Caenorhabditis elegans: one gene and its partner. The protein of the gene in region 2 interacts with the protein of the main gene of each other region in a pairwise test. Each region holds a gene or a part of one and is shown on either strand. Other genes may lie near its edges.

The links.
Region 1: the proteins of kin-20 (region 2) and atl-1 interact in a two-hybrid assay, tested with the Caenorhabditis elegans proteins (2 studies listed by BioGRID).

The regions. Positions count from the first base shown.
Region 1 is NC_003283.11:9,642,407-9,647,293, forward strand, and holds the start of atl-1 (Serine/threonine-protein kinase ATR), read right to left. Parts: upstream 3,069-4,887; 5' UTR 3,049-3,068; coding exon 2,975-3,048; intron 2,928-2,974; coding exon 2,826-2,927; intron 2,778-2,825; coding exon 2,713-2,777; intron 2,669-2,712; coding exon 2,589-2,668; intron 2,541-2,588; coding exon 2,058-2,540; intron 2,013-2,057; coding exon 1,785-2,012; intron 1,738-1,784; coding exon 659-1,737; intron 615-658; coding exon 1-614. Other genes in the region: hcp-2 (HoloCentric chromosome binding Protein), read left to right, coding at 3,476-3,526, 3,572-4,173, 4,221-4,722, 4,771-4,887. UniProt on the Caenorhabditis elegans protein: Serine/threonine protein kinase which activates checkpoint signaling upon genotoxic stresses such as ionizing radiation (IR), ultraviolet light (UV), or DNA replication stalling, thereby acting as a DNA damage sensor.
Region 2 is NC_003284.9:15,268,068-15,275,857, reverse strand, and holds kin-20 (Casein kinase I), read left to right. Parts: upstream 1-2,118; 5' UTR 2,119-2,165; coding exon 2,166-2,706; intron 2,707-2,905; coding exon 2,906-3,348; intron 3,349-3,406; coding exon 3,407-3,530; intron 3,531-4,315; coding exon 4,316-4,631; intron 4,632-4,734; coding exon of another isoform or gene 4,735-4,753; exon of another isoform or gene 4,754-4,775; intron 4,776-5,109; coding exon of another isoform or gene 5,110-5,125; exon of another isoform or gene 5,126-5,198; intron 5,199-6,131; coding exon 6,132-6,201; 3' UTR 6,202-7,242; downstream 7,243-7,790. UniProt on the Caenorhabditis elegans protein: Essential serine/threonine-protein kinase that regulates diverse cellular growth and survival processes including Wnt signaling, DNA repair and circadian rhythms. Casein kinases are operationally defined by their preferential utilization of acidic proteins.

The DNA of each region.
Region 1 (4,887 bases), on a different chromosome or scaffold from region 2:
CACTTGCGGCACTCATTTCTTGGCAGATAAAGTCGATAACAGAAAGTGTAAGCTTCGAGTTTATTCCGCGAGCACTGGAAAGCAACGACCAGTAGAGAAGACTTGGACGAATCATGTTGAATGTGATCTTCTGATTCGGAAAATTGAAATCACTTAGCACGTGAGATAGATAACATCTTGTGATTTCTCGAATTCTGTGTTCATCGTAACTTGGTTTTTGAGCTCCAGCTGAAGAAGCATCAAAGAAGAGTCGGTTTAAAAAGCATCGAGTGAAGATTGTAGAATATCGTTTGAACATAATTTGAAGTGCTTCCTCACATGTGCCTACTGGTGCTTTTATCAAACACTGAGAGAATTGTGTTTTCCAGGTATATGAGACATTCCAATCGATTTCACAATTTTTGAGCACGGAATGAGCAAACGAAGAAGCAAAGAGCGTAGCTTTGACTGTACTTGACAATCTTGCGGATAACACATTGCTTAAAAAGCCATGAACTTTCAAAGCAGCGTCATCTCCAAGCAGAGCAAATGAACGGCCGATGAGCGGGATATACATCTGTAGTTTCTTCTCGACGGTGGCTTCACTTCTACAGCATACCAGTTCCCAGACACGACTGAAATTATTACAGATGGATTATTTGTATTTGTGTAAACTTACAAGTATGCATTGGCATTTTCTGAAAATCCAATGTCAAGTGCTTTAATAATTGATGTGAACGAGGAAGCAATTCCTTTCGAATCGACGTGTAATAGCATTACACGGGAAGTTTGCAGGAACTCTCGAATTAGTTCTTGAGAAAACGTATTTCTTCTCGCAACAATTCCTTTGATCAAACCAGAAAGCGATTCATAATCGATTTTGACATTTTCCTTTGAATCCGGATCAACAAAACATTCTTCTCCGCACTTTTTGCAAGAATTTCTTCCATTTGCAGCCAGGCAGAATAATTTTTGCAAAGTCTTGAAATACTTCAATATTGTTAATTCACTATAGAATTCTTGTTTTTCGCATAACTTCGCGATGAGAATAGTGATAAAGTCATTAATCAACTGAAGATTATCTGTCAAAAACAGAATAAGCGGTTCGAAGCTATTTGCAATCCGGTCGGTTTGAGATTTCGAAAACACTGCAAGCGACATTTCAGCTACCAGATTGATATACTTTCCCGTCTTCTTTTCAAGTTGAAGAGCACAGTTTACAGCTCGCAATTTTGTAGATTCCGATGTGCTCCTCTCGAGAACTGTAGTGAATCGTTCCAAGTTAATTAATTCTGACGGCTCCGATTTTGGTAAACCAATGAATCTGAAGTTGTCCCATTTTGAGCCAACTCGATCACGAAAATCCTGGAAACAAGGAATCAATAAAAATGGAATAATTTGTTTCACTCCTTCATCGTTATTGTTGGCAAATGGACAAGACGCAGTCACAATGACAAGAGAGTTTAAAGTAGCTCTCGATGACTCGCCATTCAATAATGTGATCCACAATTTGTCTATAGACGGGACGAATTTCTTGCAGAATTGCTGGCAATGAGGATTCTGTACACTGAGTAGAGATCTAAGAATTCGTGGCCAAAGCGGATTGTTGAGGGAATGATGAGCCTCAATCTCTGTGGCAAAACATTGAAAAATGTCTAGTTTCTGAATTCGAGCAAGTTTCAGCAGAGACGCCAATATGTCCAGGTAATCAGCAAGGCAATCAGTGTGTGTACTTTGAATAGAGTGTTTGATTCGCCGCTGTAACAATTCCGAGATTTAATTGTTTAATATTCTAATTAACTCACCATGCAAATCTCACTTGCTGTCATACATAGCCTCGCAGGAAACTCATGTATATCATGGTTTGTCGATAAATCTAACAACAACAAGGAAAAGTTTTCTAGTAGTCCAAACTTGTCATTTGCATCATCGATTAACTCTAAATAAATTATGAGCCATTGAACTGGTTTTTGTCGAAGTTCTTTATGCATAATCAAAACTTTGCCATGATCCTGTAGAAAGTGTTGTATCTCCTGAAATTGATAAATTATACATTCGAAGTATAAAAATGAAATTACATTCAATAGCTTTGGAAACGTCATGTGATTGGTCGACTTCTTCGCAGTTAATGAGTTAAATGTGGCAAACAGTTCATCAATGAACAGGGCCTGATCAAGAATAGAATTGTGCAGTTTTTTATATTTTAAGATTGTCAATCCAGCACGCAAGCAATTTTCGGTCATCGAGCAATCATTTTTCAGTTTGTCTTCCAACTGTGATCGGCAGTGAGGCCAAAACAGAACCAATTCATCGAAATGAACGCATTCTCCTGCGTTTTCTCCGAATAAAGTTGAAATGATATTCCACTTCAAATGATATCTAAAAAATCCTGAGGCACCTAATGAAATAGCTGAAGCAATTTCAGGAGTGATTAATTGTGGCAGAGAAGACGAAGGTTCGACGTCACAATATTTAACAACTTCCAGTAATCCTTGCAGGAAATAAATAGTTTCTCTCGGGTCTTGTTTCGTCACAGAGATCATCAGTACTGATAGAATTCGCTGAAATAAATAAAAAACATTGAATTATTGAATATAATTCTTGCTAACGTCAAAACATTTTGCCAATTCTTCATCCTCAAAGGCACACATCGACGCAATCACTGATTGAAATAATCTTATTTTTTCCTCTGGAACGAATATATTAATACAAATACTAAATTGTATTTTCTACCTGAAGAAAGTTCCTGCTTCTCTGTTATTAAATGTAATGTAAATGTTATACTCTGAAGGATCATTCTGAAAAAACATAAATATAATCATCATCTTCTACATTTTCCAACTCACATCTTTTCCATGAACTCATTTTCGTCTAACTGCTCGATTCGGGAAACGAAAGATTTCGATAACAATTTAGTTATGTCATCTAACAAGAATTTCATTTTTTGTCTGAAAATGTAAAATAAAAAAGTTAAGATAAGATTTAATAATTATACCTGTTGAATTCTTTCTGCGTCACATATTTTTTCGCCGTACATAGCAGAGCTGAAACATCCTTATCGATATTCATTCCCAAATATCTGAAAGCCTGCGCACGTTATTTCAGTGGTTCGATGGATATTTAACAATATTTAAAATATATTGCTAACGTTTTTGTGATAATATTATGAAGAATTCACTAATACTTACTAAAAATAAGGAAACGAACAAAGTTTAAAAATAAATTCCTTCCGCAAAAAAAATTAAGCAAAATATAGAGTTCGATTGGATCGAATATATTCGAATTTGCATTGCAAATACAAACTCGCCCTATTGAAACGGCGCGAAATTTTAAACGATTGCTCCAGTTTTTGTATTGTTTTGTTGAAAATTATTATTTTCTCGTGAAGTTCCAGATTCACTTCGTTTTATTTCGTTAAACGTGGACTGTTTTTTTCAATAGTGCAATTCCCCAACTCATTATCGTAAATTCTCAGACGAATTTGATCAAATTCAATATGGAGGAAAGTACAAACGACGGCGATGAAAACAAGCCTGCAACTGGGAAGGTAAATTAAATATTTTTGTATTTATCAAAAGCAAAACAATTTCAGAAGCGACAACAGCTTGAATCTCCGTTTTCTGCTGCGACACCGAAATCGCGTCTCGGAAAGGAATCGAAAAGGTTTTTCGGGCGTTCTGCTATGAATTTGGCCGATGGAAATCTTGAAGAAACTCGCATTGAGCCAGACTCGCGCCATTCGTCTACCAGTACCTCCGACTCTATTCTTGATGATTCTTCAATCTCCAATTTTTCCACACTCGCCCCGCCAAATACCTCCGTTGATGATAACAGTGTCTGTGAACCGCCAAGAGCTTCCTCAGCTCATGATGTCGATCCTAATTTGGAACAAACGAAGGTTTACAGTGAAGACAGCATCAGCAAAGACTGTAGCATTGCTGACGAGAGTTTTGCGACTGATGGTGACGTCACACTGGCGAACGACTTCTTCCAACAAGCAACGATTCAAGATCTAGAGAATACTCCGTCAACACCACTTCGGAGCCAGACACAAGTTGGAGACGAAAGTACACCAACTGCTCCTTCCCCACTTCGTTCGAAAATTCCAATCGAGAGTGAGGTTGTGCAGTCAACTTCTGTAGAGTCAGTTCAGTCAACATCTCAGCATGAAAAATCGAGAATTGAATATTCTTTGTAAGATTAATTTAAATTTATTCCCATTGTTAAATTGTTTATTTCAGATATGAATTCGAAATGCTGGAGAAAAATATCGAGCATGATGAAGTCGTTAAAGATCTTCAATTGAAAATTGAACTTCTTGGAGAGAAACATAGACAAACTCTTGTTGAAATTAAAGAAGCTCGTGAAGTTGAAGAGAAAATGCTCATGCAACAAGTGGAGGAGGCTGTAAAAAAGACGAAATCTGAGCGCGAAGCTGCAAAAACTCTGGAACAACTTCTTGAGAAACGGATTGAAGAGCTCGAGATGAAATTAACGGAGCCGAACGGAGAGAAACTACAGTTTGAACATCAGTTGGAAGAGTTGAAGAGTCGTTGTGAAGAGCTTACTGACAAAGCACTGAAGGTTGATGTCATGCAACACAGCATTGAGGACTACGAAAAAAAGTTTGTGGAGTTGCAAGAAATGAAAGAGGAGGCTGATGAACAACTGCAAAAGGCTAAGGAAGACATTGAGACACTACAGATGAAGTATGTGGAATTGGAGACAACGATCAACAAAGAGGTAATGCAGTTAATATCTTGCCTGAAAATTAATTATATTTTTTCTTAGGTGTTCTCCAACTCTGAAATTGAAACTCTGAAGTCGGAACATGAAATTGTTCGTAAACTGATGTTGGATGAAATCCATCGTCTTGAGAATGAAATGTCTGCTCTTCAACCGAAGAAT
Region 2 (7,790 bases):
GTCCTTGATTTTCCCATTCGTTCTACACACTCTCATTTTCAAATGAGAGTTTTTCCGCGCAGGGTGGCCGTCCCCGTCCCCCAATCTATCTTTCCACATACACCGTAGCAGCAGCAGCAGCAGCAGTAGCAGCAAAAGCACCCTTTCGCAAGGGCGCTAGACCGGTTTTTCTTTCCACAAGGCGGGCGGGCGCGCGCGCGGCGAGCGCTCGTCCCAATGTCCTCACTTTTATCCTTCCACCCCTCCTCCTCCTGTCTGGCCCTCCCCTTCTCCCACTATCACCACAGTCTGGTCTCTCTCTCCCACGTTGTATTTGTGTGTGTGTGTGTGTGTGTGTGTGTGTGTGTGTGTGTGTGTGTGAGTGTGTGAGCGCTGTTAGAGCGAAATGGAAAGTGAAAAAGGTGAGAGCGAGGAGAATTCAGAGAAGCACACAGAAAATGTGGGGGGGGAGAAGAAAGGGCTGTTTCTGTCTGGCCTGCAACGCGCCGCAGCCGCACGGTTAGGGCGCTGCTACGCGTCGCGTCGGCAGGCGCGCTTTCGATCTCTCCCCTCTTATTCCTACCGCCACCCCGCAAGCTTCGCCTTCGCCGCGCTGTCTAATACGCTTTCTATCCGTCCATCTCTCTTTCCATATCTCTCTCTCTCCGTCTTTTTGATCCATCGCTACGTTGTTCTGTATACAACGCAGAAAGACTACGTGAAGGCGACGCACTGCCGCCGCAGCAGTCCCCAGCAGCAGCAGCATCCTTTCCTTTCTGTTTCGCCCTCGTTTCCGCATCCATTGCTTTTCTTCTTCTCCATCTCTTCATCTTTCACTTTCCAAACTGTTTCTTGTACGATTGCACTTTCGTTTCTATTCCCTCCCCGTCGGTTTTTCGCTTTCCCTCGTTGTTTCTTCGAACCTGACTTGACTAACTAGGGATTTTTTTTGTTTTTCTATATAGTGTTTTTAGAGTTTTTATAGCGAAAATTTGAAAAAAAAATGAATGCTTTAAGTTTTTCGCCTTTTTTCGAGGTTTCAAAGGTACCTTACAAACGCCTGTTAAGTTTTCTGATCTAAAACATAAAAAAATTATGTAAACATTTGAGACATTTCTGATATAAAATGTTTATACGCAGCATAAGAAGTGCATAAGAAATTTTAATTTTTGCCTAATCAATAATTTTTTTGTTAAATTCATATCCTTGAAATGTTTCATTCAAACTTTTGATTTTTGAACTTTTGCGTACCCTCATCATTGGGAACACAACCCATTTGTACCTGTTCCACAATTTACCTAAAGATCAATTTTCGCATTTATTTGCCCAGTCAGTAACGTGATGTTTGTTTCTCCCCCCCCCCCCCCTTCTCCACCTTTCCTCTTATTCTTGGTTTTCCCCCCTTCTCTTTTGCGTACTATTTCGGATCATCACAAAGGTCGATTTTCTGCACCTCTGCGCTTCACCATCCAACATGATATCTCTCTCGTTCGCTCGCCCAGAAGTCATTTCGAACTGATTTGCCAAAAAGAGGACGCGCGTGAGATAGAGGAAAAGGGAGCGAGCGCAGAAGCAGCGCGAGGTGACAGAAAAACGCCTGAAAACACGTTTTCTTCTGTCGTTCCCCTCCCACTTTCCATTTTTTTTTGCCGCAAGGTTAGATTGCACACGTCAGATGTAAGAACAAAGCACTTTTGTGTGTGTATGTGTGTGTGCGTGTGTGTGTATGGTGACTGTCCCTGTCCCTGTGTGTGAGGCCATTTGCGCACTTGGCACGAAAATCTAGTTTTTCAACGCATTAAAAAGTGAGATAGAGAAGCAACAAAAAAAGAGACACCAACAAGAAAAACTTTATCTCTTTCACTTTTTTTTCACTGTTTGCGTTCGTTCCGTTCCTTGTTAGGGGGAACTTCAATGAGGGGTTTACGTAGACTTTTAGTGCAAGTACTTTCTCTGTTTTCAATTTCAACTGTTTTCAATCTTTGGCTCAGACTTATCAGTATTCTATTTTGTGGCTCGTGTTTCTCTCACGTGACACTTTTCCTCTCCTCCTATCTTTGCCAAATTTTTTTTTCTGATTGCTTCATTTGACTCTTCGTTTTGGCGTATTTCTAACCAAACTCGACTCTCTGATTTTTGCCACGTTTTAGCTGGAGGGTGTCTGTCCCGATTGTGCAGAGAGGTGTATGGCGACAATGTCAAATGATGCCGCCGCTGCAGCAACCTGGCACAACAACACGAGCACACCGATGGACACCACCGAACCAGCCACGAACAGTCATAATCCCGGTGAAACGGCGGTGATCGGTGGCCCAGAGGCCCTATTATTACCATCTGGCAGCGGGCCAGAGGAAATGAATAGGCACCCTCTGTTGATGGCGCAAGCACACGGAGAACACCATCAGCCACGGCTGCTCCATAATTTTCCAGTCATACCTCCACCTATACAGCAACACCAACAACCTCCTCTATTACAACAAGCTCAACCTTCTCAAATACCACATCCAACTCAACCCCAAATAGACCCCACAATGTTCACACAACAGTCTGGATTCAATTGGCCGCCCATAGACCCGAATACAATAGCAGCGTTGGCTCAGGCACAGCTAGCATCTTCTCATGCACAATTTGTGTCGTTGGCTTTAACGCTTGATCCAACGCTATTATCACATTTTTTGGCGACACAGCAGATACCTCCAGTTCCGCAGCCATTAGTGCACAAGAAAGGTGAATAAGCGGGGTGGCTTGGCAAAAGGTCATGAAAAGTGAAAGGCTTTTCGAACAAAAAAAAACTTGATTTTAATCGCGCCAGTAGTCAGGTAGTAAAATGCGCTTTACGTCAATGTCAGAGCGATTTGAAATCTAAAGTGCAAAATTCACAATACCAGATTTATGAATTGTGAATAATATATATTCAAATTTTCAGCGGAGATGGAACTTCGTGTCGGCAATCGTTTCCGCCTCGGTCGCAAAATCGGAAGCGGCTCGTTCGGTGACATCTACTTGGGTCAAAATATTCAAACAAATGAAGAAGTGGCGGTGAAGCTGGAATGTGTCAAATCCAAACACCCTCAGCTGCACATTGAATCACGGCTCTACCGCATAATGCTCGGAGGCATTGGAATTCCAGAGATTCGGTGGTGCGGGCAGGAAGGTGACTACAACGTTATGGTGATGGAGTTACTAGGCCCTTCACTCGAGGATCTGTTCAACTTTTGCCAACGAAAATTCTCGCTGAAAACCGTCCTGCTGCTTGCCGATCAAATGTTGTCTCGTGTGGAATTTATTCATTGCCGAGATTACATTCATCGCGATATTAAGCCGGATAACTTTTTGATGGGTCTTGGAAAGCGAGGAAATCTGGTCTATGTAAGTTTTTCTTTTGTGAGGGATTAGCCAGCCTACTATGTTGTGCCTTTTTTTGCAGATTATTGATTTTGGACTAGCGAAACGCTATCGTGATAGCAAACATCAACATATCGCATATCGGGAAAATAAGAATCTAACTGGAACTGCAAGATACGCCAGTATAAATACTCATCGAGGAATTGGTATGTTTTTGAAGTTGCATTAACAGTGAAGCACTTCAAAGGTGGAGTAGCACCAGTGGGGAAAGTGTTAAAAACTACTCCTATGGAGCCGAAATGAGCGAATAACAAAATAAAACTTTTCAAAAAAAAATTTGAAAATTTTTTATTTACAGTCAAAAAGTGACAAATACTTAGTTTTTACCACTCATAATTTTGAAAGTCGACCAAAAACACATTTTCCTACATTTTTTATAATTTAAATTTGTTGTAATTATTGCGACATTTCTTTGAATTTCCTCAAAAGCTTATGTGTGTTTCAAAAACTTTGGCAATTTGCCAAAACTTTGACCAGAAAATTTAAAAAAAATCTAAAATTTTTTGAAGTGTTTTGTTATGATATTCGGTCGTTTTGGAACATTATAAGTTTATTTAGCAAAAATCCCCTCTAGCGCTGCTCCACCTTTAAAAATGAAACGCAATATTTTTACAGTAACAGTAAAAATCATGATCCTATAATTTTTTTTTGAAAATTTGATAACCATTTCTTCCAACCCAAAGAATAATCCATTATTCGCCCATTCACACGTGGGGTTAGGTTGTCCCATTACGGTTTGATCTACTAAAAATGGGGGAATTTTTTGCCCAAAAAATGTGACGTCAGCAGGCTCTTAACCATGAGAAATCAGTTGAGAAGCCTGCGTCTCTTCTCCCGCATTTTCCGAAGATCTACGTAGATCAAACCAAAATGGGGCACGCTGACACCACGTGCATTCATACAACTTTGAATCAATTTGTTTTTTTTTCAGAACAATCACGAAGAGACGACATTGAGTCTCTTGGCTACGTGTTTATGTACTTTAATCGTGGAACTCTCCCGTGGCAGGGACTAAAAGCTGTCACAAAGCGGCAAAAGTATGAGCTGATATCAGAGAAGAAGATTTCGACGCGAGTTGACGACCTGTGCGCTGGCTACCCCGAGGCGTTTGCCCAGTACCTCAACTATTGCCGTAGTCTTGGATTTGAAGAGCAGCCTGATTATGGTTATTTGAGAAATTTGTTCCGCACGTTATTCCATCGGCAACAGTTTTGCTATGACTACGTGTTTGACTGGAATACATACAAGTGAGTGTTTCCTATTGATTTTTCTATTGATTTGCAAAGATTTTGAAACAAAAAAATATAGAAAATGGAGAAGAAAACGAAGGCAATCCCCTAATTTTTCCAGATTTGACTTGCCATTTTAACTCAAATTCCCCTCAAAAAAAGGTTTCTCACACACGTTCTGTTGTGATGTGTGTGTGTGTATTTTTCTTTGTTGTTTTGTACTTCTTCTTTCTGCTATTTTAATTTTAATATTTCAAGCTGTTTTCTTTCTTGCTTAGAATTTTGATTTCATCATTTTTTCATAAACTATAGCTTATTTCCGTTGGTGTCTCGTCACTGTGATGTTGCTAAACCGACGAGTGAAACAAATAGTATGTAGTGGCTAGATGATAATGCTTTTGAACGAATAACCGGTAAACTAGCGGTGTACTTTGCTTTCATTTTTCTACATTCACCAAATAATACAAAACTACTGACACGCTTTGTGTTTTTACAGATTTCGTCGCAACTGAAACTGATCGCATTGTGTGTCTGAAAATCCAAATAAAAACATACTATCCTAAGAATAGATTTGAACTGCCAGAGGTAAGAGTTGAGCACCACCACCACCGCACGTTTCCAATTTGCACCCGTTTTAACCAATCACTAATTTGGATTTTTGACTTTTTTTTAATTTTGAAAAAATCGAAAAATATCTCTAGTAACTAAAAACAAATTAGTCTTGCATACAGCAAAAAAAATATCTTCAAATTTTTTCCTATATAAAGCTCCGCCCATATCTTGGTTTTTTGGAATATTTTTGAACACGTACACTTTTTCGTTTTAAAGGTGGAAAAGCGCCAGTAAGAAAATGGGAGCAGAAATTGATAAAAAACCACTCCTATAATACAATGCCAAAATTGCCAAATATCATAGTAAAACGTTTCAAAAAAGGATATTGAAAATTCTTTTATTGACAGTTCCAAAGTGGCATTTGCCCCAGGTCTTGCCGCTTTTTTGAAAACGGCGGATCAGAAAAAAATTTTTGCTCCGAATTTTATGGCCTAAATTATTACTTGTGAATTGTAGGGATTCAAGAATGCGACAGTGCTCTAGTTTTGGAAATTTTAAAAGTGGAAAAACTTACGAATTGCCACTTTTTGACTGTCAATAAATATTTTTCAAAAAATTTTCCGAAAAGTTTTACTACGATATTTGGTTTTTTTTGGCACCATAGAAGTGGTTTTTAACAATTCTCCCAATGGTGTTACTTCACTTTTGCAACATTTTCAACCCAAAACTTTGAAAAGTTCACTTAATATTCCCCAACGAGTAATGTACTTATCTGTTTTGAAAAAAATGCCTCAATTTTTCACGAAAATTTAGTTTTTTTTTTGTTTTCCCTGTGTTTTCCTTTGTTGAAAATCTCGTAATTGGAAAATTCAAATTGTTATTTTTTAAAAATTTAAATTACAATTTTCAAATTCCCTGCACTCACCGTACTCGAGCAACTTTGATTCCAGAATTTCAATTTTGCAGATTCTACAACGAAAGTCTGGAGGCTCGGAACAATTTCCAGCAAGCGGTACCAAATCAACGTCGACATTAATTGTATCATCTCCTTTTCAAGTTTGTGCTCCATTTCCTCTTTAATATCTCATTTCTTACCCCCGTTTTGTGATACTATTCATGTTTCATTTGCCTCTTCCTTTTCTCCTCCTTCCTGTCTCTTTTTTTCCTCTGTGTTTTTTTGTTGTTTTCTTAAAAACAACAACAACAACAACAACCTGTTTCTAGTATTTCACTTGCAACGTTTTCTTCCATTTCTCTCTGTTCATTTTCCTCGCTCTGTCATTGATCTTTGTCTCAGTTTTTTCGGATGTATATTTTTACTTTTTTGACTTTTTTTTGTCTTCTTAATTGTTCCAGCTTAACAATCGTCTCTTTCTCTTACGAGTTTGGGTTTTTTGAACTTTTTTTCTAATTTTTCCAATTCATCGTTTACTTCTTTTCATATTATGAATACAATATACTAGATCATAGGATTTTGAATAAAAAACTGCCTTCATCCTTTTCGGACTATCTCTCTTACCTTTCTCACTGTTTCTTTTTTTCTCTCACTCGCTCCCCTCAACCTCTCTCTCTCTCTCACTCTCACTCAATCTGTCGCAATTAAAAGAATATATATATATATACATATAATATATATATATATATATATAACTTACCTCATTATATTGTGATTTAGGAAACAGTAATGTAACTACCACTTTTTTCTAATTTTCCCCCCTCAATCATTCCTTTTTGCGCAGAACGTTTCCAAAAAAAAAAACCAATTCTTGGCAATGCCGTGTGTCGTAAATGTGTCCTTTTTAATTTTACTTTTTCCTTTTTACACTTTTTTTGAAAATTATTGATTAATATGGTGTTTTTTTAATTCTCAAACGTCGCTTCTGCGGGTGAAGAGACCTACTGTATCAAACTTGATCCCCTCAATCCCCCCTCGCCCCGTCCCAATTCCTTTCTTCTCACAAAAGTTCACCTTTTATTTTTGCAGACTGGTAAAATGTATGTTTTGTCATTTTCTTTAATTCCTTATCCTTCTATTTTTTTGTTGTTCAAATGATTTCAAAAAAAAAAACAATTTTTTTCAAGCAAGCATTTTATATGTTGAGCAAATGTATGAGAGCACACTACACAGGTTGGGCGGAAGTGAACATTTAAGGGGATGGGTCAAATTTGAAAAAAAAACAACAACATACATAAGAACATATAAATTCTATATTACAGTAAGAATACGAAAATTGTTAATAGATTGCAATGGCCTTGTTTTGTAAAAAACACATCATTTGAAAAAAATTGTTGCATCAACTACACAAGTGCAAGAGTATTTAATAAAATCCATGTAAATTCAAATATTGCTGTTTTCCTAATTTTTACCTACTACTACCGGTTCAGAGAGTGGTATCAGTTGCAGAAACACAGACATCTTGGGATGTTTCCCAATGGGCGGGGTTGCGGGAAGAGCCGATTTGTGTGGATTTACGGAACGCTTTATAAATCGACACAAAATGGTTTTTCGCGCGCCCGTTCCCTTGGGCCTCGAGATGCATTGGTTTTTCAACTGACTACAATCTCTAGACCGGTGATATGACAAACGTTTGAAAATTTTTCAAAACATTTTATCTTGATATTTTA